Linked DNA regions of Arabidopsis thaliana. The main gene of each other region encodes a partner of the protein of the gene in region 2 in a complex. Each region holds a gene or a part of one and is shown on either strand. Other genes may lie near its edges. The genes, in order: AT5G20170, AT3G01435 and MED8.

The links.
Region 1: AT3G01435 (region 2) and AT5G20170 share a complex: the UniProt entries of both Arabidopsis thaliana proteins name them as parts of the mediator complex.
Region 3: AT3G01435 (region 2) and MED8 share a complex: the UniProt entries of both Arabidopsis thaliana proteins name them as parts of the mediator complex.

The regions. Positions count from the first base shown.
Region 1 is NC_003076.8:6,809,174-6,812,773, forward strand, and holds the start of AT5G20170 (RNA polymerase II transcription mediator), read right to left. Parts: upstream 1,747-3,600; 5' UTR 1,557-1,746; coding exon 1,468-1,556; intron 1,380-1,467; coding exon 1,175-1,379; intron 1,015-1,174; coding exon 901-1,014; intron 697-900; coding exon 611-696; intron 120-610; coding exon 1-119. Other genes in the region: AT5G20180 (Ribosomal protein L36), read left to right, coding at 2,139-2,293, 2,581-2,737. UniProt on the Arabidopsis thaliana protein: Component of the Mediator complex, a coactivator involved in the regulated transcription of nearly all RNA polymerase II-dependent genes.
Region 2 is NC_003074.8:162,930-174,432, forward strand, and holds AT3G01435 (uncharacterized protein), read right to left. Parts: upstream 5,360-11,503; 5' UTR 5,177-5,359; intron 5,125-5,176; exon of another isoform or gene 5,102-5,124; 5' UTR 5,056-5,101; coding exon 4,789-5,055; intron 4,101-4,788; coding exon 3,924-4,100; 3' UTR 3,585-3,923; downstream 1-3,584. Other genes in the region: AT3G01430 (NHL domain protein), read right to left, coding at 2,666-3,208; PnsL3 (PsbQ-like 1), read left to right, coding at 5,549-5,825, 5,970-6,256, 6,380-6,478; AT3G01450 (ARM repeat superfamily protein), read right to left, coding at 6,974-7,261, 7,402-7,596, 7,691-7,823, 7,922-8,028, 8,193-8,450; MBD9 (methyl-CPG-binding domain 9), read left to right, coding at 10,387-10,901, 11,325-11,503. UniProt on the Arabidopsis thaliana protein: Component of the Mediator complex, a coactivator involved in the regulated transcription of nearly all RNA polymerase II-dependent genes.
Region 3 is NC_003071.7:899,812-911,314, reverse strand, and holds MED8 (mediator subunit 8), read right to left. Parts: upstream 5,803-11,503; 5' UTR 5,491-5,802; intron 5,365-5,490; 5' UTR 5,338-5,364; coding exon 5,159-5,337; intron 5,069-5,158; coding exon 4,944-5,068; intron 4,850-4,943; coding exon 4,725-4,849; intron 4,657-4,724; coding exon 4,473-4,656; intron 4,368-4,472; coding exon 4,284-4,367; intron 4,163-4,283; coding exon 4,107-4,162; intron 4,017-4,106; coding exon 3,747-4,016; intron 3,659-3,746; coding exon 3,602-3,658; intron 3,285-3,601; coding exon 3,078-3,284; intron 2,991-3,077; coding exon 2,940-2,990; intron 2,843-2,939; coding exon 2,779-2,842; intron 2,696-2,778; coding exon 2,523-2,695; 3' UTR 2,043-2,522; downstream 1-2,042. Other genes in the region: AGL30 (AGAMOUS-like 30), read right to left, coding at 7,746-8,214, 8,302-8,414, 8,492-8,566, 8,640-8,736, 8,821-8,882, 8,968-8,983, 9,088-9,152, 9,246-9,264 and 2 more; EMB93 (Mitochondrial transcription termination factor family protein), read left to right, coding at 10,367-11,221. UniProt on the Arabidopsis thaliana protein: Component of the Mediator complex, a coactivator involved in the regulated transcription of nearly all RNA polymerase II-dependent genes.

The DNA.
Region 1 (3,600 bases), on a different chromosome or scaffold from region 2:
GGCGAAAACCAGAAGTCGGATCATATAATGAACTGTCAGAAAGATCAATGGTGAAGCCCTCATTGCTGGCATTTGAAGCAAGCATGCGTTGTCGCTTGACTTTCCAGTTCCGCTGCAACCTATAAGCTTGTTAGTATAGCAAAAATAACCATTTGCACGTATAAATCAATCTCTATTTTGGAAGCTGAAGTCAGCTTATCATTTTATACAAATTATGAGCAATTTCAACGGAAATTCTCTAATTTGTGTTGGCATAATCTTAAGCAGTCACTACACAACAAAATGGATGTTCCTGAAGTACTGTACTATGCAGGTTCAGTAACAGAGACGGTGTAGAAGTCAAAATTTAGAACTTTTTCACATTAGACAAGAATAATAAAATGCTTTCACGTTTATCAGTCATAAGTCATAACATATTACAAAACCTACGTGCGTAATAACTCTACATCCAAAATTCGGACGCTAATTATCTGTGCACAACACAAATAGCTATGACATTGTAAGCTACCTAAAACTAGTATCAAGAATGCAAACAACAAATTCTTAAAAGTTGCAAAATAGTACTAAGGAAAATAGCCACTGACATTAAATGAAAAGCAAGTACTCGAACCTGATAAGAGCACCATAAAACCTTGCTTCACGATTGATTTTCTGCTCTAAAGCTTTTGCTGATTGTTTAAAGTAGTTTCCTAAATTCTGCAGAGGAAACAGATATTCAGAAGTGAGATAAGCATACCATCCAAAGACAATTATATAGTTAAAAAGCTCTTTACGAAACCAAGTTAATGTTTCCAACAGTTTCTCAGGATACTAAAAAGTGCCTAACTAATAACAATTACAAGAATCCTTCCATCTTTAAGCAAAGTTAAATTGCACATAAGAAAGTAAGCTACTGATTACCCGGTAGCCCTGCAGCTTGGTAGCAGTAGACACAGCAAGATCCGAGAGAATCTCATTCGGCATCGGCTTAGGTCTGGTCATCCCAGCAACTGTTACTGCATCATTTGCTTGGACCTTCAAAGATAAAATCAGAAGATAAATTGTTTAAGTTTTACTCTCTATTCAAATATCAGAAACCAAACTTCAGCTCCTTCCATTCAAACCAATAAAACAGACACTGTAAGAGCTATGAATATCCCAAAATTCTTATCTATTATCAACAAGAGTCACTCACTGTGTCGATAAGGTCAATGATGACAGTGAGCTCCTGATGAGCCAATTGCAAATTCTCAACCATTCCCTTCCATTTCCATTGCTCCACGCTATCCTTGGAGCTTTTCTTCTGCTTCTTCTTCTTCAGCTCATCTTCCTCTTCCAACGCCCACGCGAAGTCTATTCTCCGAATCAGCGATACTCTCTTATCATCGTAATCAACATCACTACACGTCAAAAACAAAAGGAATAATTTAGAAGCAAAACAATCTGGGAAGATTTTGTCTCGTTTCTCAAACACCAGACAACACTTACGAAGGAAAACGCTCGGCGCCATTTTCTTCGATAGATTCCAATCGTTTAATGGGAAGCCTGTCGAGAGAGATTTCCATGTCGCTATCCATATCGTACAGAAAAAAATCTTCCCGGTCAAAAATTCAGATTTTCTAGGTCGACGGTAACACAGTCCGGCCAAATCGCTTCAACGCTCCAAATCGGATATTTAGATCTAATAATCCGGGTCAAAAAAATTCCGGATCATTTTTACGGGTAAAGCCCATTAAAAGCCCAAAATATGTTGTACTCTGACTGTGCAAAACTCCTCCGTAAAACCCTTTCATTTGCATTTGGGAATCGATTGCTCTTCTTCGTAGTCGCCTTTGAATTCGCAGGTATTTTTTTGTTCTTCGCTTGATGGGTTCTCGTTGATTATCACTCGATTTCGTATCTGGATCTATTATAGGGTTTTCTCTTGTGTGATTCCGTGTAGTTAGAGATGGATGCTTCAGATTCGTTTTACTTTTGCTTCCATCATCGGATCAACTAAGGATTGCAGTTTTTCTGGTAGATTAAGTAGAAATGATATGTTTAGAGGATACAATCCTTAGTTTTGAATCTTAAAGTTGAATACTTTGAAGAGTTCTCTTTCATTTTCATCTAATGAGTTTTGTGTTAATGATCGGTTGTGAATTGCAGAGTGAGAAGCAATGAAGGTGAGATCATCTGTGAAGAAGATGTGTGAGTTTTGTAAAACAGTGAAACGTCGTGGACGTGTGTATGTTATATGCTCTTCCAATCCTAAGCACAAGCAAAGACAAGGGTTCAGTTCCTTTGCTTATGAAGGAATTACACCTTCCCCTTTGTAAGTGAATCTTGTATCTGGTTTTCGCTTTTGAGTAATTAGGTGTCTCATTCGGATTTTGGACGGGTTAAATACAGTGTATATTGACTACTGTGAATCACTTACTACCCAAATTTTGTCCTATAGAATCATTGAATGAAAAGTGAGGATCTATTTAGAGTCTGTTGAACAGTTACTAAAATACATTATAGTGGAACATCACACAGAAGCATGAAGCATGTGCACTTGTTTTCCTTCGCAGAGTTGAGAGTAACTTACTTAAAAAGTTATTTGGGATTGTAAAACAGGTTTGCTGAGCCGATTGCTAGTCAGGAGTTGGTGAGGCTGCCTGGTCAGGGGGTATCAGCCGGACTGGCATCACTTTTACACAAAAGGCCTATGCCAACAGCGTATTTCGGATGGAGGTCTGGTCTTGCATCCATTCTCTTCAAACAAGGAAATTAGGATGTCAGCATTTCCCTTTTTATTCTTCAGATTTGTAATCGCAGTTTTCTTCCAATTCCTATGAAACATTATTGTATATCTCTCCACTTTTACTTTGGTCAGTCGTATGCTCCTTCGAGACCTGTTTGATTGTGCCTCGCATGACCTGAACAAAGAGATATATTATGACACTCGAGTATTTGTTTTTACATTTTCCACTGGAGCATATGTTAGGGATCAATATGTTTTTCTTTTAGAAAACTCTGGTTAGTGATATCCACATCGATTACATGCCAAGGAAATGAGCAAATTGTGGTTGAATTTGTATTGACCGCGTACCAAGTAGTTTGAAATATGTTGTGGCTCATTTGCGCATGTTTATAGTCAAATTTCACTATTCCAAAATGAGGCTGCACAAAGCACACCCACTAAATGCGAATCAAATACAATGAAACTGGAGAGACGGAGACTTCTCAACGACAACGACCCTTCTCTTTCTCCACCGTTGAGCACTCGGCTCGTAGGTCCTACGTGGTGGTGTGAGAGGTCACAGGAAGCCCACTCTGATAGGCATATCCCATGGGCCCCGCTTCTGGACAGTACTACTTTTGGACATAACAAGCCTTCTTTATTACTTTTTGTTGTAGTTTTCCCTCAGTCAAATCGTTAACAGCTTCATTCCAAAAAAATCACCTCACCAATAATTGTCATACTCTTTCGTAATTTCCATTTTTGAGCTGCAATTTTAACCAATTGATCTCGAGAGATAACCATCATAATTGTGTTTCTTTCACAGGAAACAAAAAATACGAAAGGGATAATTAATCTACTCAATATATAAAATTCAGAAAGGATAATTTCTCAAAGGTTCAGGATTCCTTGCC
Region 2 (11,503 bases):
TCATTATCATTATTTTCTTGTTATTAAAATTTTGAAAATGTGACTCATTAACTTTGTATCATTGTGATTTATATATGTCACTGCGTTATCATTGAGGTATAAACACAAGTCTCAAATATTAAACATACGCTTTCTTTTTCTTTTTTGGGTATCCTGTGTTGTATCGGAATGGTTATCTATTATAAAAGTTAACTGCAACTCGAATTAATATGAACCTTAATTTTATTCTCAAAAATAGTTATATAATAGAAACTGTTACTGAATTGTTCTAAAGTGGGGGTGTCATCACCTAAGAAAAATTAAGTTTCTACATGCATTAAAGCATATATGTATATATTTAATGGGGGTTGGTTAACCAACCCATTCCTCCCTTACCCAAGGTCCGCTCTTGAACACAATCAAAGATTAAAAGATTGCCATTTTGCTTCAAAATAAGGAAAAAGAATGATCCAATAAAATAAGTTTGATATATAGAGCCATCATCAGGTACGTGTTAGAATCTAATATTTTTTATGTTTCCGTAGACAAGTTAGATTAGTTAGTTTAGTCCTACTCGGCTACTCCTTTGATTTATACTATTTGAACATTTTATATTGAATCAGTCTCTCTCTGCACGTATATCAGAAAACGTCCGAATCTTTGGCTCTTAAAGATATCTATGTATGTACTAGTAATTTGTCTTTATAATATATATCTATATTAGACAGACCAAATCTCAAAATGTCTTGGATGAAATGTTAAAATAATACCATTTCTGTTAGTTTTCGTGCGTGTTACTCAAAATTAATTAATACCAATAAATTATAGTATATATAAAAATTTCGACACCTGAAGTTTGGTTGACCAGACAATATTCAATAGGTTTTTTTACCACTGTTTGGTTGCTTAATTTGCACGACTTTACTGGTTGATAATTCTAAATCGTCTCGAAGTTTATGATTTATTGTTTTTATCATAAATAATAAAAGTAAACTCTTCGATAATTAGGATTCTTTTTGTTTATTCCACCAGGTTTATAAATTATAATTAATATTTTTCTTGACAACTATGGCGTCTATATATTCGAACACGACTTAACTGGTTGAGAATTCTAAACTTAAGTTTATGATTTTCATCATAATAAAAGTCATATATGCAAGTAATTCAAGATTAGGGTTCTTTTTGTTTATTCAACCAGGTTTATAATTAATATGACGTCTATATACTCAAACGTACGACTTAAGTTTTGGTTGATAATTCTAAATTTATAGGTTTATGATTTATTGTTTAATTTCATCATAATAAAAGTCATACAAGTAAACTCTTGGGATTAGGGTTCTTTTCGGTTATTCAACCAGGTTCATAATTAATATATCCTTGACAACTATATATGACGTCTATATAATAAAAACCAAATTATAAATAGACGTCACGTATTATTATAATGTAGATACCAAACATGTTTGATCTTTTCTCTGTGGAATGTGAACTGTATTCGAAGAAGATCATGTCGGAGTTTACAAATTATACGTAACTGGATTTGATCCAATAAATAAAAGATCAAAGAGTAACAATTTGATAACTAAATGTGAAACATCAGCAAATGACAACTATTAAGATGTAGATAAGTCTTGGATTAAATAAAATTTTCACGTGATCGTTTGGGTTAAAATAGCTTCGTTCTTTCACTTAAGATTCAATTGTCATGGTCATTTTATATAAATTGGTCATTTTATATAAAAGTTCGTTTCGGTCATGTCATGCATGTTTCCATGGACTAATTAATATGAAAAAATTGTAAACACCATATGGTCGCGCACACTAGATCTATCACAAGAACTATCAACATTACTTTTCAACCACCAAAAAATTATGATAGCCTACTGCCTTAAGCCTAACGCGATCCAACCAAACGCACCACTAAAAATCCAATTCAAAGACTTGAAACAGGTAAATTACATTCGAGCAATTCTACTCCTCCGAATCTACAAAAGTGGTGAAAGTGCTTGATGATGTCAGTGATTTCCAAATATATATAGAGTCCCTCGAAAAGGTAAACTTTTTCCAAATTCATGATAGGGTAAGATCAAATCAACTACAAGGAAACATACGTGGCAGAAAAAAAGTTCAAAAGAAAAGATAAGATTGTAGTTTGTTTGACAAAGAAATAAAGAGTCGCAAATATGGATGGTTACGGGTAACTACAAAAATCAGAGAAAAATTGATCATATATCATCATGAATTCCATAAAAGGAGAAAGAGGTGGCTACACAAGCGATCCTATAAAAAAACAGATCAACGAGTGATCCTTGTAGTTGTGGAACACTAATTCTTACACGATTTTCGCTAATCCAAATCCTGATAATCTTAGTGTTACACTAATTCTTACACGCTTTACCCTAATCCAAATCCTATGAACCTAATTCCTGATGGTTTGAAAATTTTTACTCCCTATGTTCCTAATTTTTTATTTTTTTCTAGAGTTTTGAAAAAAAAATTGTTTAATTATTTCTATATTTAAATTTTTTCTTGGATGAAAGGTGCTTTTCTTTGTAATTACATTGGTAATGACAGAATAATACTCAATAGTCAATACTAATTTATAAAAAAATATTGGAAGAAGAAACAAAATGCCATCTCATTTTGGTCTCACACACGACAACATAAAAAGTCGAGCGCGTGGCTTTCACTTGTTATCAATGTCGCTATCGAAATCAATTGAGCATTTAGTGGAAACCGGTAAGGAAGGCGCAGCGAATCTCATCGAGTAATCTCGGTACGGGAACTCGTCGTCAAAATGTCCGGTTTGATTTCCGTCATCGAAATTTAACGAGTAGCTCAACTGATCGTACCGGAATTTACCCTGATCCGATGACCGGTTAGGCATTGCACCACCTCCGCATCCTCCGCTGCTGTTTCCGACTCTCCCTCCTCCTCCTCCACAGCAGTTGCTGCGTCCGAACCGGCGGATATACGTCTTCCATCTAGGTCCAGCGACGAGCTCCGACCACTCCCTCATCCTCCGCCACCCTCGGATCCACCATCGCTCGTCGGGTTCGAGTTTGTCGACGGTCGTGATCCGTTGCCACCACACAGATCCGCCGCGAGTTGATGGCTGAGATGAGGCAAGGCAGGGCATGAGGAAACAACAACCTCGCTTCGCGAACAACGCCTCGTGCATATCGTCGGTGGCATCAACTTCAGCGATCGGCGGCGATTGATGACTCATTCTCAGAGAGAAACAGAAACGAAGGAAATATGGAATTTCGTCCTGATCTAGCTACTCTCTTTTGTCTCCTTAGATCGTCGTTCCTCTTCTCATCTCCAACTCTAAACCCTAATTTTCTCCCTCTACCCAAGAGATTTCTATCACCTTCTCCAATCAACGCGTCTCTTGAGCTGTAACTAAAACAGAAGAGCACAAAACGGCGTAACCGCCAACCCGGCAATATTGGTTCTCATTAACCCTTTTTAACCGCTTTGGTTTTATCACATCTAACCGGGAATTTCAGCTGTTGATGCTATTAATTTATTAAACCACATATGAATGAAGGGGTTCATATACGTAATTGACGTTAGCACATTTGGTTCCAAGTATTGATCGATACATTAAACCGCAATAAAATTGGTCCGTTTCTCTCTGGCCCAAAATTGGTTCGATTTCTCCATAAGCTGAAATTGATAACTCCCAGTGGATGTAATGTATCTAATATTCTTGGAACAGATTCATTGCAAGTGAATGTTCTAACCAAAATCACCTAATCTTTTTGCAAAATCTAATATAGTAAGTAGGATAATATCTTACTTTTGCAACAAGCCACTCATTCGTAAAAACCGGACATACTTTAATGGGATAACCTACAAGTCTACAACTCATCTGGAAACTATATCACAACCGATGGTTTAGTATAGTTCTTCAAGTAACCTTTTTATGAATACCAATATCAATCAGAAGAAGGATACCGGTCAGCAGTTTGTTTCAGATCTTCAAGCTGCGTGAGAACATATTCAAGCTTCTGGAAGCAGATCTCATTGGCTATTCTCGCGTTGTAATCGCATTTCTCAAAGGGACGGTACTCGCAAGCGCTTTTGATCTCTTCCCTTAGTGTCACTTGTATATCCTGCAAGTTTCACAAGAACTTCATCTTATTATGGATTGGCGATAACATTATAGCACATTTATGTACAGTCAAAGATCAACAAGTTCATGAACCAGACAATGAAGCTGATATCTTCAAACTTTATGATTATCTCTAGAAAAAAAGCAGAATCAAAAGCTTTTTACTTGTTCACAGAATGTAATGATCCCTAATCTAGACATGTGTCAAATGAGAGCCCAAATGTTCTTTAAACAGTGAGATTCCATCCAATATGAAAATATCAGCATCCATCACTCATAAACCTTAAGCCTAAGAATAAAGGATCAATGTCAAATCCTAAGAAACAGGAAAGGAATACAAACCTAGAGATTGTGATACATGAACCCATATGTTAACTAGTCACAGAAGAATCACAAAACGAGAAGCAGCGGCCATCTTGAAGACTAAAACCAAAATCAAAATTCTAAACAAAGCCCTTAACTTTGATCAGGAAATGTAATGAACCCTAATATAGACTTGTGTCAAATTAGCCCAAACGATCAACACTCGAGAAAAGATACCAATTCCCCAGAGAGATTGAGTCAGCAAGAACACTAATCTAGCTAGACTTGTGTCAAGTGATCCCCAATGTTCTTTGATCAGGTAGTTTATTAATACACTAATGCAAAAGAAATCAGAAAATATTTGAAGAAGAGATAGAGTAAGAAACCTTCATAGATTGCATAAACTCTCGGCAATGGCTGTTGACGAACTCTTTCTTGGGACCAGAAGGGCTCGCGAGTTCTTCCATCACTCCACCAGCTAGTTCCAAAACCTTAACAACTCTCTGCCCGGAAAACCAAAAATAAAAACACAAAAACACATTCACATCAAATCGTCCAATAAAATCTCTAAGGAAAGAGTGAGTTTTCCAAAATTTCACATTCTCAACATTCTGGAGTCGCTGCAACGAAGTGTTCTGCGTCTGCGGATCCATTGGACTCTCCACGATTTCTTTTAGACCAGAGAGAGAGAACTCCAAACTGAGATATATCACAATACCGTCAAATCCACTCATACACATACCCTAAATACTCAAATCGGAGCAGTGGGAGTACCTCAATCGAACACGGCGACGCGAGACAGTGAAGATGGCAGAGACGATGAAATAACACGGAGAATTTCGATTGGAAACGGCGTGCTTATGATCAGCAACGGAGGGAAGATTTTGGGGAATCGGCGACACTCGGCAATACAGATCGGTGAAGGAAAAAGCAAAGAAGATACAAGTTTTTTTTGTCACGTAAAACGGCACGAACTCTACTTTATCAATTCAGGAACAGCGAGTAGTTAAAATATTGAATTACGAAAACACCCCTTGGTTCAGATAAAATCTTTGTGATGGCCGCTTTTCTCATTTATAACGGATAAAAACCGTAAACAATACACAAGAACAGAGGCTGACACCTAAAGCTTACTCTCTAACTGCAATGGCTCACTTCATAGACCTCAACAGTCTCACCAACACTTTACCGTCTCTTCCGAAACTACCCGAGAGTCGTAAAACCGGGAAATCCAGCGGGTTTGCTTGCAGGAGAACTGAAGAATTTCAAGAACCGGATTCGGTACAGATCACAAGACGGATGACATTAGGATTTGCTGTCTCAATAGGTCTTACCGGAATTCTCGGCGAAAATAATGTTTCCTTGGCACAAGACAATGGGTTTTGGATTGATGGTCCTCTTCCAATTCCTCCTATTTACAACAGTAAGCGCCATTTTATATTCTTGATTGTTTTCTTTCTTCAAATGTTTGAACATTTTGAGCCATACAACTATTCAAGATGAGAATTCGATTTGGTAGAATCATTTGATTTCCGGTTTTGAATTCGTCCTCGATTTGAATATACAGATATCGTGAATGAGAAGACGGGAACGAGAACATTCATAAAGAAAGGAGTGTATGTAGCGGATATCGGGACGAAAGGAAGAATGTATAGAGTTAAAAAGAATGCTTTTGATCTCTTGGCAATGGAGGATTTGATCGGACCAGATACTTTAAACTATGTGAAAAAGTACTTGAGGCTTAAATCCACATTTTTGTTTTACGATTTCGACAATCTCATCTCTGCTGCTGCCTCTGAAGACAAGCAACCTCTCACTGATTTAGCCAACAGATTGTTCGACAATTTCGAAAAGGTAAGTGTACTAATGAAGTCCTGGTTCGTTCAAACCGAAGAGACTATTGTTTTTTTAAAATTTCTTCTCTTTTCTGATATATCCTATATGTTTATTTGTTGTTTTCTTGGTGTTTCGACACAGCTTGAAGATGCAGCTAAGACGAAGAACTTAGCAGAGACGGAATCGTGTTATAAAGATACAAAGTTTCTTCTTCAAGAGGTAATGACCAGAATGGCATGATCCTGGTTCGGTTTATACCGGTTTACTTGCTATTGATGATCCTACATGGTTGATAACTCTGTGGTCATAAATTGTAATCTTTGCGGAAAAATATTGAGATCTAGTAATCAAAAAAAAAAAATGTAATGTATAGACCAAAATATGATCAAATTTATAACGAATTGGATTTTAATTTTTCAATCAAAGATACAGAAAGAAGAGTATATGCACTAAATGTTTAATATTGAAATCTTAGTTTTAAGAAAACATTTGGCCAAAAAAAAAAAAAGTTTTAAGAAAACCAATGTAATATAGACTAAAACATGATATATATCAAATAAACCGACTAACTTTTTGCCTAAAACTAACGGTTGAGTCGTTGAGATTTATCTTACCACATCGACATATTCACACACAAAATAAAGAAACAAACCCATAAACCAAAGATAGAGAAACAGTGGTCGTACAACGTTTACTCACAGAGGCTTACAATATCAAACTGAGGGCTTGTGACTGTCATGAACCCGCAACAAGACCCTCTCGAGCCACACCTGCGACATTGGTGACACGTATCACAGCCTGTGCACTAAGAGGTGAGAGGTTTGATTGGCAGAAGATTTGCCAAGTGACTGGCTCTGGATGCTCCTCCTTCGGTTCGACATTAGTAGTTTTCTTGTACACTGTCTGAAGTTCCAGTAAGACTGCCCGTGCAGCCTCCCGAGATTCTGGGAGTTGGTCACTGAGCTGAGACGATGCTGCTTGGACTAGTTTCTCAATTCCATATTCTCTAATGCCTTCAATGCCCTAATGATTACACAGCCAAAGAAAGGTGATGTTGGTGGGAACATGGACTGGATCCAAATTGGTTGTCATGGTGATGACATGACAAATCCAAAACAAAAGAACAAGACTGGTTTTATGATATCGAGTGCAGTTTGATTTACCAGTCGGGGAACACATCGGGAGAAGCACGTGGATGCTTTTGCGCGGATCCGAGGATTCCTATTCTTGAGAAAAGGTTGAAGCTTTGGCAACAGCAAGGCAGGAGAAACATGTGCAGTCATTGCTACTAATGCTTTTTCTGCTGCTTCACAAACAAATCGCTTGTCTTGGGAAGATTTAAGGAGGAGTTGAGTAAGCTGTAAGAAGGGAATTCGGAGTTACTGTTATAAGAACACACAAATGTCCGCTATTTGAGGAGAATTCCAAGAGTATCTGCAAAAGATGATTTACCAAGAGATCCAATTGATCGATTGTATGGTCATTATATGAGCTGAAGATGTCAGCAGATGTCATACATGCGGTTTTACTTACAGCACTTCTTGGGTTCTTCAGTGATTTCACGATAAACAGGATCACTTTCTCCCTGTAAGAGCTGACAGCGTGAGACTAGAAAATTCTCTCGACGTGTAACTCGCTCTACTAAAACTGATCATAATCACGAGTAGAAAGAAAATGACTTACAGCATATGCAGCATTTCTTCCTTGTGGAATATGGAAAGACGACGAATGGTATTAAGAGCATCACAGACCAAAACCCAATCCTTGGAGTCTAGCTCGGTTACAAGTGACTGGAATAATAAAGAAAGCAGTTCCAGAATGGTATTAGGTAAACAACTTACTTCCAATGTCCAAATTCTAAACAGATGAATATAATTGCAAATTTGCAAGGCAGCATTACAAATGAGAATTCACAGTAAAGCATAGGATACTAGCAGGAAAAAACAATTGATACCTTGAGAACTGCATCAACTTGGGTTACATTGTTCAAGTCTTTGGATTCTATATACTCAATTTCTACGATAACTCTCTCTGCCTCAGGTTTCTCAATCTCATCGCCTTTAGGATGATTGTGATCAAAGGGGACAGAGTTTTGTGGTGGTTTATCTTCAGCTGTTCCATTCATTTTGCCAACCAAAAGCTTTGTTTTATAGTCGATATTCCTCTCAGAGACAGGAAGATTCTTCAAATCTTTTAAAGCCTTGGCAGCCATGCGTACCTGAAAAGTAACAAAGAAGACGCCATTATAAGTACAAACAACATAAGTTTAGCATCTGCGATTACAAAACCAAAGATAAGATTATAGATGAATTTTCGACCTCTAGCTTAGTATTAAGTATTCCCAATGAAACCCTTTCAAAGTAGAAATGGTAAGATAAACACATTACTATGAGAGTTCAACAGCAATAACATTAAAGAGCAGAGATCTATCTACATTCCCAAATCTTATTTCAAACAATTACGAAATTTACTCAAAACAAAAGCAAAAAACCTCGATCCCACTCAAGGACTCTAAAAAGTTCAAACAAATCCTCGCAGTCCGAAATCTAACTCCGGCGCCGTAAACTACTGCAACCGCGAAAGATCGAAAACGCAGAAGAATAGAAAAAGTAGCGGCGAGTCAAGCGGTATCGATGACTACTAACTTGAAGAGTAAATAGTGAAGATTATTTGACTCGCGTACCTCTATAAATTCGAAATGCCAGAGAAAATTCAGGGAGAGAAAGAGTCGATGAAGACGACGAAATTGATTTCCGGCCAACAGTTCGCAACTCGTAGTAGAGTCGTCGTAGTCATACTCGTTTACACCGACGTCGTTTTATGGATCCAACGGAGGGGACCCATTTGTACGGCATATCTTGGGCGAAATTAATGTTTTTCTTTTCCTTCTCTCTGATACACTTTGGTTGGTTATTGTAAATTCCTCAAATACCCTCGGACTAGATATGCATTTTTATTTTTATTTAGATATGGAATTGGTATATACATATTTTTTAATACGTAAAAACTTGGATTGGTGTGGAAATATTTTATTTTCTACTAAACGAAATAAATTGAACGTATAAAGTACATCACATGTTACATGCACTGATGCACATGAGGAGTGCAAATTTGAAAATATAAGATAAGAAACATGTTGCAAAGCTGCCACCCACCGTATCCAATTGCTACTATTTGTATCAATCAGTTACAAACTGAAAACCAAAAATGAAATGACTAGAACAAATAATGTTAAAATGCACATTGAAATAGTTAACAAGGAAAGCATACATTGATCGATAAAACGAATCCACCACGTTCCAAAATATTTTGTCGCAGATGTTGCAGACTTGTAGCTAAGTTGGGCCGGTAGATGTAGGTGACAAGTGTTTACAAATCTGTTAACTGTCGCTGTGTTCCTCCTACTTTTGATTTTGTGTTACACTATTCAAAAGTTGGTCGACTCTTTTAATCGGTTGATTAGACTAGTACTTAGTAAAATTTGTTGTTAAAACTTAAAAGGGAGAAGAAGAAGAAGAATACTGCTTTAATTCTTAATTAATTTTTTTTTAAAATTAGTAGTATCATTAACGTGTTTATTACACCTTCCTCGAGTTACTTTCCTCGTGATGCCAATGGTTTTTTTAATTCTTTACCTTTTCTTCTGACACAGAGTCACATATTTGACTACGGAGGAGATCTATTGCTTCCTAGTTCCTACTTATCTTTATCGCGTTGTACCAACATCAATATAAAAGCAACATCTTACTTTATAAACTTCCGTAAATTTGATAACAAGTACAATCAAGTTTAAATTTTTCTAAAGTTAACATAAATTTAGCATCATACAATAATTAACATTTTTTTTAGGTTAAACTTTTGGTGCGTTACGTGAGTAGCAGCATCTTCGAAAATATGTTTAGTAGTAGTAGTGATAGGAATTAGGAAAAGGCACACACAAAAAAGAAAAAAAAAGGGTAAAAGGATTCATTCACGTTTTTTTGTTTTCTCTCTCCAAACAGAACTTCGGGAAAAGTGGACAAAAAAAAAGAAAAAAATTTAATAAGAAAACCTCTTTTTCTCGCAATTTGGTTTTGTTTTCAATCTTCTTCTTCTTCTTCTTCGTCTTCAATGCAAACAATGCTCGATTCCATTAACCTAATCGAATAATGGAACCCACTGATTCTACTAACGAGCAACTCGGAGACACTAAGACCGCCGCTGTCAAGGAAGAGAGTCGCTCCTTTCTCGGCATCGATCTCAACGAAATCCCTACCGGCGCTACTCTCGGCGGTGGTTGCACCGCTGGTCAGGATGACGACGGCGAATATGAACCTGTTGAAGTTGTTAGGTCAATTCACGATAACCCGGACCCAGCCCCTGGAGCCCCTGCCGAGGTTCCTGAACCGGATCGGGATGCTTCGTGCGGCGCGTGTGGAAGACCTGAGTCTATAGAGCTCGTTGTAGTCTGCGATGCCTGTGAGCGAGGCTTTCATATGTCTTGTGTCAACGATGGAGTTGAGGCGGCTCCTTCCGCCGATTGGATGTGCAGCGACTGTCGTACTGGCGGCGAGAGGAGCAAACTGTGGCCGTTGGGGGTTAAGTCCAAGCTCATTCTGGACATGAACGCCTCGCCGCCCAGTGATGCTGAGGGATACGGAGCTGAGGAGACGTCTGATTCGAGGTACGTTCCCCTGCTTCTGGTATTCGACGATGCGTTAGGGTTTTATAAGAATTGAATTTGGGTTGAGATCGAGAACATAGTTGCAAGACTTGGTTAAGCTGTCTTTACATGTATTGCGAGTAATGTGTTCGATTTTAAAGCGATAAACTATTGAAGATTAAGCTGGACTAGGATTTGGTGTTGTTGAATTTAAGTTTCAGTATAAGTTGAGCGTTCTGTGCTACCGTTCGTTGGAGTTTTTAAGGGGCCTTTGATCTTCTCTTATGAATTACTTATACATACGATATATTTTCAATCAGTTGTTTAGACTTTATTTGATTGGACTTGTCTGGCCTTATATAACATGAGTATGTCTGAGAAAACACATAGCCGAAATTGTAAAGCACTGATGGATCATGTGGTTGCTTGTTTCTTCTTCTCCAGAAAGCATATGCTCGCCAGCAGCTCTTGCATTGGAAACTCTTTTGATTATGCAATGATGCATTCAAGCTTCTCAAGTCTCGGTAGAGGACATGCTAGTCTCGAAGCTTCAGGGTTAATGTCTCGTAATACTAAAATGAGTATGGATGCATTGGGTTCACATAATCTAGGTTTTGGATTCC
Region 3 (11,503 bases), on a different chromosome or scaffold from region 2:
AATTACTTCCATGTATTTTAATAATCAATCATATGCTAATAAAACAATAACGAGATAATAATTAAATTTTTATATTCTAGTATAAACGATATTAAATTTGACTAACTATGTAAGATCTTATATTCACTTCAGAATATGAGTACTACTTATCATCGATAACTCATCTGTTTTCTTAGCCTTTGAAAAACACTCGATTTAAGTTTATAATAGTTCTTTCAAAATTTCTTATTTTTTTTTACCATATTTATTTTCTCAACTTTTGGTGATAATTTAAGTTCTTGAAAAAATTTTGACCATCAAAAATATGATATCTTCTTAAGATACATTAAACTAGTCATTCATGAAAATTTCTATAAGTGATTATACCTTTAAATTAAGTTATTTATCAATCAATTTATTTCATAAAATAATCAAGTATGATATACTAATACAATTTTAATGCAATATTGTAAAACCAATCAGAATAAAACTATTTTGTGCAAAATCTGGATTTTACATATATCTTGACAAAACTTTTATTTAGGCTAATATGAATTCGTGCAAGATTTGGGTAAAATGATTTCGTGCAAAATTAGGGCAAAACCATGAACAATTTTTTTTGTTTTTTTTTTTTTTTTTTTTTTAGATACCACAAAGATTTAGAGAAAAGAATCTTATAAAAAAAAAAATTATCTTGCAACGTTTTTAGTAAAAATAATAATAACACAATCAAATATATGGAAATCTTATAAAAATTTTTAGATAATAATAACACAAAGATTTAGATATATGGAATCTTATAAAAAGAAAAATTATCTTGCAACATTTTTAGTAAAAATAATAATAACACAATCAAATATATGGAAATCAAATATTTAATATGGAAAAGTCAATATCTAAAAGTGATAAGATATGTATAACGTTTTAATCAAAGGAGTTAAATAAGGGATATCATATCAATCATAAATGGATTTTAGACAATATAATATTTATAAAATGATATTGAATATAGATGCAACTATTCAAAACTGGAATGCTAAAACATTAATACATGTTTGCATCACCTACCACCGGGTTATGAATAGTTACAAAATTAGTTATATAATTATAAAATTGGTAATTTATATATTCATTATTGTAATAATAAATCACAAAAATTAACAATTAATAAGCATGATTATCTTCTTTAACGATTTTCTTTGTAGAATCATTGAATCATGCGATAGTAATTATAGAAACAAATGATAAGCATGATTCTCTTCTTTATTGAATCATTGAAAACATGCTTTTACCGATCTATACTATAATCATCGATCGGCTCATATTGTTTTGTTTCAATAATAGAAAATAAATACTATGAACCATGAGTCGATAAGTAAACATGGTTCTTAAAAAAATGTAAGAATCTCTATATCTACCTTTTAGAGCGTCCTGATAACGTGTTATAAACAGAGAAAGAGATAGAAGAAAATGAGTGTGTTATTCCATTGAGGTAAAGGGTTCTTTATATAGGATTACAAGGAAAGGGTAAAACCTTAGAAACATCTAGATGATGAGTTTAGATGATGGGCGTTATAATGAGCATCCATCTTTATTCATAACAAGTTGAGGTTTGTTTTGGGTTTTTTCCCTATAATAAAGCATTTATTTCATATAATATATAGTAAAATATTTATTTTATATAAAATTAATTTAAAGAAAATTATGCATTGAATATTTATATTAAAGAAAATAATATATCAAATCAAAGCCTTTGAGATGATGAGTTCAATTATATCTTTAAAACTTTTGAATACAAATATATGTTATAGTGAAAACGTTTATAACATATGCAAAATCGCACAAATAAATTATATTGTGTATTATTTTAAATTTTATAAATTTATTTTGCATTTTTTGAATGTGCACAATAAATTGTAAAAATAAGCGATTTTGAGTGATTTTTTCGCAAATTCCTAAAAACCAAAGTAAACTAGTTTTTCATATTTGTAACAAAAGCAAACAAAAAATTTAAAAGAAATGGTAACTAAATTTCAAAATTTGATTGAGGTAACTAAACGAGTCGTTGAGCTAAATAAGTACATAAAAAATGAGTATATAAAATTAAGTTGACAAGAAACAAAACAAATTGTCAGAAAATTTAATAGCTTTCGAGTCGCAGTTTTAAAGCTCTCTGTTTAAAGTTCAGAAAACAGGTAAACTTCATAGACACGTCGCTCTCTCGAGTCCCGTGTACAACAGAAACGCGTCTTCGTTTTGTCTCTATAACCCCATCAACGGCGTCGAGATGTTCACGTCGATGCCACGTGTCGAATTCTCAATAAACATGTCAGAACGAAAACAATCCTCCACCGTCCAATCTCTGCTTCACGTTTTTAACCTCATACAATGATACAAGTAAACAAAGTGTACTAGTGTAGTGTGAAAGTACCATACAACTAGAGAAATCTGGTGAGTGTATTAATGTTAAAGAATGGGCCAGGCCTTTGGTACTACAAAATACAGGCATCGGCCCATTACAAGCCCAAATTATTTAAAAGGGGTTATTGAGGATTTTGGTGCCTTTGTTGAGCATTCTGCATCATGTTATTAGGCTGTAGACTCTGCTGATTCGTCTGCATATTTCCATAGCCTCCTTGTTGTTGCTGCTGCTGCTGCTGTTGCGATTGCTGAATTTGTGTTTGCTGTGTTTGCATCATTCCGCTGGTGTTAAACACTGTAAAGATAGGACAAATGAAATAGTCAGGGAATCGATTTTGATGTAAGAAAACATGTTTTAGAAGAGATTTGTTTACTTACTCTGGTCACCCAACATTTGAGACGAATGGCTTCTTTGGGGATTGGTACCCGAAACTCCAAATTGCTGACAACCATAAAAATCCAAAGAGATCATCAGATTAAGACAATGTTCATCGTTCAGATTTGGGAAACATAATGAGTAGAGGAGTTTTTGAGCTAACCTGCATCCTAGGAACAAGTGTCTGAGATTGCATAGATGACATGTTTGGTATCTAGAATTAAAAGAAAAAGTACGTAGAAAATATGATTAGTAATTGTTTCGAATCATCAATTCAAGAGGTTAAAGAGAGGTGACTGACCATTTGGCTACTTGGGGAGCCTTGTGCAGAAGTAAACAATGCACTATTGGCTCCACCTGAAAACTGGTTTAAGTGACGGTTCATCGCTGGATTGAGCTGTCCTTGAGACATGCTATGCTGAATATGTCCACCTGAGAGCTGTCTAGCTTGGAATTGTTGGTGCGCGCCCATTGGCTGGGAATATGGCATTTGATGTTGCCCATGTGACTGAAAAATAAGATAAAACTCACACTTAAAAGACAAAAGCTTGTTTCATAATTTCATTTGATTCTACTGTTTGAAACTACGAACTGTCACAGTTACTTTTATATAAAAGCTTCTGCCAAGTCCCAAGATCTAGGATAACTTTTCAAGAGTATGAATCATTCACTTGGTATATGTAAACTTGTATAAATACGTCTAGTCATCTTCATTTATGGCCATAACTACTGCATAATGATACAAATAATTGACCAAGGTAGTGTCTGATCCTTTTCACTTCACACATCTATCCCCTAACTATGTTGTAGTTCTATTTATCTTACCGTCTGAAACTTTTGCTGAGCTTGCCCATGCATATCATGAAGTGCTGGTATCTGACTCTACACAAAGAATTAGCATGTTGCTCAATAAAGCAGTATGGTAGGAAAAAACAGTCAATTGCTACGTCTGCAAAATGTCAAAGCCTACTTGACCCAATCCCTGCATAGAAGATTGCCTGAGCTGTTGTTGTTGTTGTGCAAGTAGTTGCTGCTGCTGATGTTGAGGCAACTGCATTAATTTTGACCTTTGCTGCTGCTGTTGAAACTGTTGTTGCTGGATTTGATGCTGAGGCGAAGGCACATTAACCATACCCGTAGCGCGAGGAGAATTGGAATATGGTAAGGGAGATGTTGTGTTATCAAAATTAGGACCAGATGGAGATGCAGCTGATCTTCCCACAAATTGAGTCCCGGAAACCTAAAAACACACAAAGACATGAACCTCGAAAGACAATGATACTAACAAAAGTAATAATCATCACAACTAGAGAGAATAAACTAGTTTAACCTGCATCATTCCTTGATTGTTAATGTTGTTTGATTGCCCAGGTAATGCAATCTTACCTAATGAAAGAGAATTTTTGGAGCCATTAACAACGTGAGAATACCATTGGTAGTAGTAACAAAATAAAGAAGATTCAAGCATTGGGTTTACTTCTACCAGACAGATCAATGAAATCGTTACCTGCATCATTGATAATTAGCACATCTGCCAGATGTGGTGGAAGTGCAGTGGTTATCTGTCTCTGGTCTGGAGGCAGTTGTGTTCCTAGAAACAACCATTGTAAAAGAACATGAGAAGGAATTCAGCAAAACAGAAAACTGCAGTTTCGTACACTATCAAATGACTCAATAAATTCTAAAACCCTCTTACCTTTACCGTCATTTACAGCATCTCGTAGCATTTTCTCCTGCTCCTGAATCTTTGCAGCTTGACCTTTATCCATAGTAGGAAGCATAGACGGGCCTTGACGAGTGCCAAATCCGTAAGCTTTACGAGTATCAGCTAATACTCTTTCTGCATTTTCACAAGCTGCTGCAATCATATCCATCCTCGCCTGTAATAACAGATACCATTTCAAAAACCAGCAAACAAATCACAACAAAAATACATTACAAAACTAACCTTAAGCCTTTCGATTTGCATTGGTATAGGCAAACTCTGAACACCTTGAAGCAACTGCTCTCTCTTGGCATTGTCATCAGTTTCCATCTCCGGTAGTAATTTCGAAGACAACATAACCGGTAAAACTGCAGATTCACTGATAAATGCTAAGCTAAACCAGTTCATCACATTCACAATTCATTTAACTCATCAACTAAAACAACTAAAAAAAGACCATACTTGCAGCGTTCATAGCATTGACGTTCTTAGGAAGCACAACAAACGCATTTGAAACTCTCTTTACTTCTTCCACAATGTTAAAAAGCTCGAGATTTACCATCGAATACTGCCCTAGAATATCCTGCCTGTTCAAAACAAAAAGAAAATCAATCCTTGTTACAAAAAATTCATAAACATCAAAATATTATCAAATTCTGGATTCGATGATGATGAACCATTTAGGAGTAGTGTTGGTTCGACCATAAGCGTCGAAATCTTCAAGGATTCGAGCAATGGCTTTGGCCAAGCTAACGGCTCGTGTCTTCAACGACTCCAGATTCAGTTCCTTCTCCAGTTTTGGATTCAGCTTCTCAGCTACCGGAGGAGGAGGTGGTTGCTGCGGCTGTGTCTCCATTGATAACACAGAGCTAATACACAAACCCTAATTCCAAATTTAACGTAATTAGGGGTTTTTAACATCACAGCGAATTGAACAAATTAATTAGGTTTCCGATTTGAAATTGACACAAAAGTTTCGATTAGAAACACACACAAAAGAGAAACTTACGAATTAGAAAACGAGGAATGCGCAAAATCTCGAAGAAGGCTTTGATTTGGAGAAGTTAGTTATTGGAGAAGACGAGAGAGTGTGTTTGAGAAATAGAACCGGGAAATATAATAACATACCGAATCCATAACATATATATGTGTTTCCTCTTTGAAAACTTACAAGGTTGCAACAAATAGACAGAGCGGATAAATCCGTTTGCAGACTAGACCAATATGTCGCTAAGACGGACAAATCTGTTTGCGGAGTAGACCATTATATTTCTAAGACGGACAATAATCCGTTACGGACCAAGTTTTGTTTTTTTGCTTTCAAATAAACTATTTGTTGGTCCGTAATAGAGTTTTGCGTGATTTGTAGATATAACACTTTTTTACTAAATAATTAACCAACTAACACCATAAATTTGTAAATGTAGTAAATAACCTTCAAGGAGAGTAAAAAGACATCACTGTCCTGGTGTTACGCTTCGTCAGCGAAGAAGGAGAATGATTAGTGTGAGCTGACGTGACTTTATTATTGGTGTTGAGGTGAGAAGAGAAATAGGTGGTAGGAGAGAAATTCTCTTTTCTCTTTCTTTTTTCTTTACTCCTTTTCAATTGTAACTCATATTATCTGATCTTAAAAAATTTAATTCAAGTTCATGATATATCTATTAAAAAGTTGTATAGTTTTCTACAAATATCATGACTTAAATTTTTGAAAATAGACACAAAATAATTTAGATGTGAATAGTGTTGTCAATGAATAACATAACGTTCTATATAAATTGACAATATTTTTTGATGGAAGTATACTAAACCCTAAAGGGATAATATATAGGGAACCCAAGGGTTTAAATCTAAAACATTAATGAAATCACTTAACATCTTTAATCAAAACAAACAATTCATTTTAAAACGTATATAGAACAAGGTATACGTAAATAGTATACTATTTACAAAATAGAATAGTATCTCTCAAAATGCAACAACGGAACTCAATTTCATCACCAATACACCAAGCGCAACAACGGAACCCTATTTCATCATCAAGTGCAACAACGAAAGTCAATTCCCTGAACCTAACTTGTGTTCCTCGCTCTGTAATTCGAAACCCCCAAATCAAATATCACCCTAAAGTAATTAAGAGACTCTAATTTGAAATAAAAAACAAGTAACGAGGTAGGTGTAGGAACTTTATTGGGAGGAGAAAGAGAGAGGGGGAGAAAAAAAGAAAGAGAGAGAAAGAGAGAGAGAGAAAAAGATAGAGGGGAGAGAGAAGGGAAGAGAGAGGTAGACGGAAAGAGATAGAGGGGGTAAACTTGGAATTAATATATAAAATATAGAGGATATCATTGCTTTTTTTTTTATGCTAGTTTCTTAATTATATTTTTTTTTGGTTAGTTTTCCAATTCCCCTAGAGTTTTTATATTTTTTCCTATTTACTAAACTGCGGACCAAAATTATGAATAGTGAATAAAAAACGGTCTTTGTACGCAAGTTAGTCCGTCCCATTGTAAACCCACTCAAGGAAATGGTTCTTACAAAGTAAAACTATTTAAGAAGATATTAGTAACTTGTGTGAAAGATACTGTTGGCTTTGTTGATGGTTCTTGGTGATTCAAAATCCTAGAAGAATCATCCAATGTAGTCTCTCTAACCCATAAACATAAGCTTCCTTAGTTCATCCTACATAACTTGTAAACTTTTGTATAAATCACTTAATAAACAAGAGTACTTTGAAGACAAAAACAAAAACAAAAATGTAGTAAACATTGTTTTGTTTGTTTGTTTTACATTGAAAGAATGAAAAAGAATAGATACAGAGGCTAGAGTTTGTGGGAAGGGAAGGAAGAGAGAGTTTCTCATCTTTTGGCTGTCATGGCGTTACTTTGACAGCCCTCCAAAGACACTACTAACTTTTATCGCCGGAGAAATATGGAAAACCTCAAAAAATCTCATCTGACTGAGAAATTATGTATAGAAAAGAATTAAGTGACATCTATTGAAGATATAGAAAAAATAAATGAACACGTATTGTGTGTGGTTTGGTTGCACAATCTACCAGGGATTACCACTGGTTTTTTTCTTCTTGGAACCAATTCAGAAATCGGCAGAGTTTTAGCTTTCTTGCTGTTTCTGAAAAAAAATATTGGTTTGAGTTTCTTCAGTGAGATGTTTTATCATCATTCATCAAATCTCTCTCAGTTCGGCTGCTGCATCTATAAGAAAGAAGAACAAATTGTCAAATCAGTCTACAAAACAAAAACCCATTTAGAATCTCTGAGAAAGTTTTGTTTTGGTTACCTGGGAAAACAAGTATTCGTCGAACATTGAGATTGAGCAAGGCAAGGAGCTGCTGCTAGAACCAAACCTGGTTTGGTTGGTGTTGTCGTTGTAAGCAGAAGAATCAGGTGGTGGTGCTTCAAAGAATCCATTCATATGATACTCTCTCTGATTCATTGGAATATACACCTGAGCATGCGGAAGAGTAAGAGGAAGAGGAGGAGGAGGCAACGTTTGGTGATGATTCATATCATTGTGAAGATTGGGATTGTATGCTGTGATATTATTATTATTAGTGAACTGCTGCTGCGAGCTTGTGTCCTGTTTCAGCTGTCCGGTGTTTAGTTCATCAAGAAAGCTTGTTTCTTGACCCGGAATTGTCATTTCAGGAGATTTCCCTGTTCCAAAGTAGCCTGGATAGCTCCCGAATGAAGAACTCGCTGAGCACTCGACTTCCCTTTTGAGGATAGACAAAGATTTGGTTTTAAGATATGATTCAATATTAAAAGAAAGAAAAGTTCTCTCGGTGAGAGTTTTCACTAACCTCTGCGGGATTGAATTGTGTTCCTCGGTGACAATGTTGGTGGTGTTGCTATTAAGAATCCATGACATAGATTGAAGCTGTTGTTCTAAAGGAATCTGAATCCCATCTTGCATCTGAAAGTTGTACAGCCGGGTTTACAATTTGTTTTGTTACAAATGAGAACTAAAGAAGAGTCATTCGAGTAAATTACCGAGCATGTTGACCAATCCTTAACAAAGTTTGCGTTTTCTATTTGCATTGCCTGTTGCTGCTGCCCAAAATGTTCCTATCAACAGAAGAGTTTTTAGTTTTTTGTTTCGCGGATGAAGTGAAATGGAAAAGTTTTAAACAAAAGATACCTTGTGTGCACGCAATTGATCAAGGGATTGCCTAATCGAAATTTCGAGCTGTCCCAAGTGTTCAACATTGTTAATCTTATCTGGTTCCGTCCAATAACTGCAGAACATGACACTAACAAGTATAAAAAAGAGCACAGACATCAAGAGAACAAAGAACTATCATCCTCAGCAAGATCTTTACCTTAATCTTCCATGTATCTCAGAAATCCGAGCCTGCAGAATCCTTGCTTGAGTACTCAAGTCCTGAAAAAAGGTTGTTTTGTATAAATTTAGGCTTTGGCAAATGTCATAGACGTTAGAAATGGAAAGAGAGTCTTAAAACCAATACCTCTACTGTTGAATTACTGAAACCAAAGAACCAAAAGCAAACAAGAGAGAAGAAAAGAAGTTAATATTCATATAGAGTTTCTTGCAAGAGATTTTGATATAAAACTGTTTCCGGACATACCTTGAGGCTATAAATTCGCGTATATTTACATCGTGATCCAACTTTTGGAAAGTTTTCTTCAAGTTCTGAGCTTTCGAAAGAGAAACATCTAAAATCAGAGATTCTCAAGGATCAAAATTAACCAAAAACTTCATTTGATTATGTGAAAATAAACTTACTTCAAGACTCTCGAACTTCCTGTATTCAAAAAAGATGAAACCAATGAGTAAAACAAGACCAACCATTGCCGGAGAAACAAACAAAAACATATCGATAAGAAAACACCAAACCTTTTCGTTCTTTCCTGCGGTGTTACTTGAGAAAACTTAGCAATCACCTCTTCCATGCTACTGAAGAACAATCATAATACATTCAGATAACACAATCCAAGAGAGACAATGATTATGTTGACAACAAACAAAACAAAGGAAGACACATTAGATAGATTACCTTCGTGTACCGCAACATATTGCAGCCTTGCCAGTAGGAGAGAACATAAGAAGAACAATATCAATGTCACAAAGAATAGATAGCTCATTAGCCTTTTTCAAGATCCCATTTTTCCTTTTAGCAAATGTAGATTGGCGTCCATTTGTGTTCTCTAACTTCTTTATCTTCAATTTTACCCTTCCCATCCTGTTAATCCCCAACTATATATTAAACCAAAATCAAAATCTCTTCTTCTTCTTCTTCACAAAACATCAATAAACTATTCTTCTCTTCAATCCAACACAAAAAATCAAAACTTGAAATGAATCATTAACATAATACGTTTCCAGAATCTGCAATCTATAATACCCAGATCATGAATTTCAATTTCATCACTTTGGGTTTTCAATAAAGATTCAATCTTTTTCTGAAGAAAACAGAGAGATTGTGAAAACCCTTATTAAGAAGAGATAAGGAAAGAGAAGAAGAAAAGGAAACTTACCTAAAGAGGCAAATTCAAACGCCAAGCTGATACTAACCATGAGCGAGATCTTAAAAAGGACCTCTTGAAGAAGAAAGGGAAAAAAAAAAAAAACTTCGAAACGAAGAATCGAAAACCAGAGGTAGAGATAGAGACAGAGAAGATGATTGCGGTTAACAGACTCTGCGCAAAAACCGGTCTTATGATTAAGCCGCTTGAGAATAGGGATCCTCATTGGAAGAAGAAGAACAAGCAGAAACAACTCTCAACCAAAAAACTACGTCGTTTAATCTTTATCTGACCGTTACACCAGAATTACCATTTTACCCTTCTTCCATTGTTTTATCCACACTTTAAAGATTGAAACTTTTTTTTTCTACCTCACCGACGATGATGATAGCAAGGTGTTCTCTTTTTCCGCCGCCGTGTTTCTCCGCCGTGAGGATTAGATGTTTCGCCGGAGAAACTTCAGATACTGGGATTCTATTCCGGGAGAAGCTTATTTACCTTCAAGACCTTAACGTAGATCCTCACAAAGCTCTCCGAGTAAACCCATCTCTCCGTTCTGCTCCAATCTCCTCCGTCGTCTCCGTCGAGACTCTACTCTCTTCCACCGGACTCTCAAGACCCGCCGTTGGTCGTATCCTCGACATGTTTCCAGATTTGTTAACTTCTGATCCTGAATCTGAAATCTTACCAGTTCTTCGCTTCTTATCCAATGAGATTTCAATTTCAGAGCAAGACATACCTAAATCGATCTCTCGTTGTCCTCGATTGCTAATTTCATCTGTAGATTATCAGCTTCGTCCTGCATTAACGTTCCTCAAAACCCTAGGATTCGTGGGTCGCGACACGATTACGTCACGGAACACGGTGTTGCTTGTATCGAATGTGGAACGAACCCTAATCCCCAAAATTGAGTATCTTGAAGAAGGGTTAGGGTTTACAAGAGAAGAAGTAGCGAAGATGGTTGTGAGATCTCCGGCGTTGTTGACTTATAGTGTTGATAACAATTTAGTTCCTAAAGTTGAGTTTTTTATTGAGGAGATGCGTGGAGATGTTAAGGAGCTGAAACGTTTCCCTCAGTATTTTTCGTTTAGCTTGGAGAGGAAGATAAAGCCAAGGCATAGATTGCTTAAGGAACATGGGATTTTGATGCCTTTGTCTGAGATGTTGAAGGTTAGTGATGGTCAGTTTAACCATTGGCTTTTAGAACTTCGTCTTAGGTCTGCTGAAAGAAGATGATGATAAACAACAACGTTCTTTTTGATGTTCTTTTTACTTGAGATTTGGGACATGTCAAGACACTTCACATGAGTTTTGTATATAGTTTCTGTTTCAATGATTAGGCTGAGTACATGTTTCGTTAGATCATGTAATGTGTAACTTGAGATCGTGAAAGAAGATGATGATCAACAACAACAATGTAAGCTTTTTGATGTTCTTTGTTCTTGGTACTTGAGATTTGAGAGATGAAAATTGCAGAAGTTTTGTACTTTGGGACATGCTAAGACACTTTCATATGAG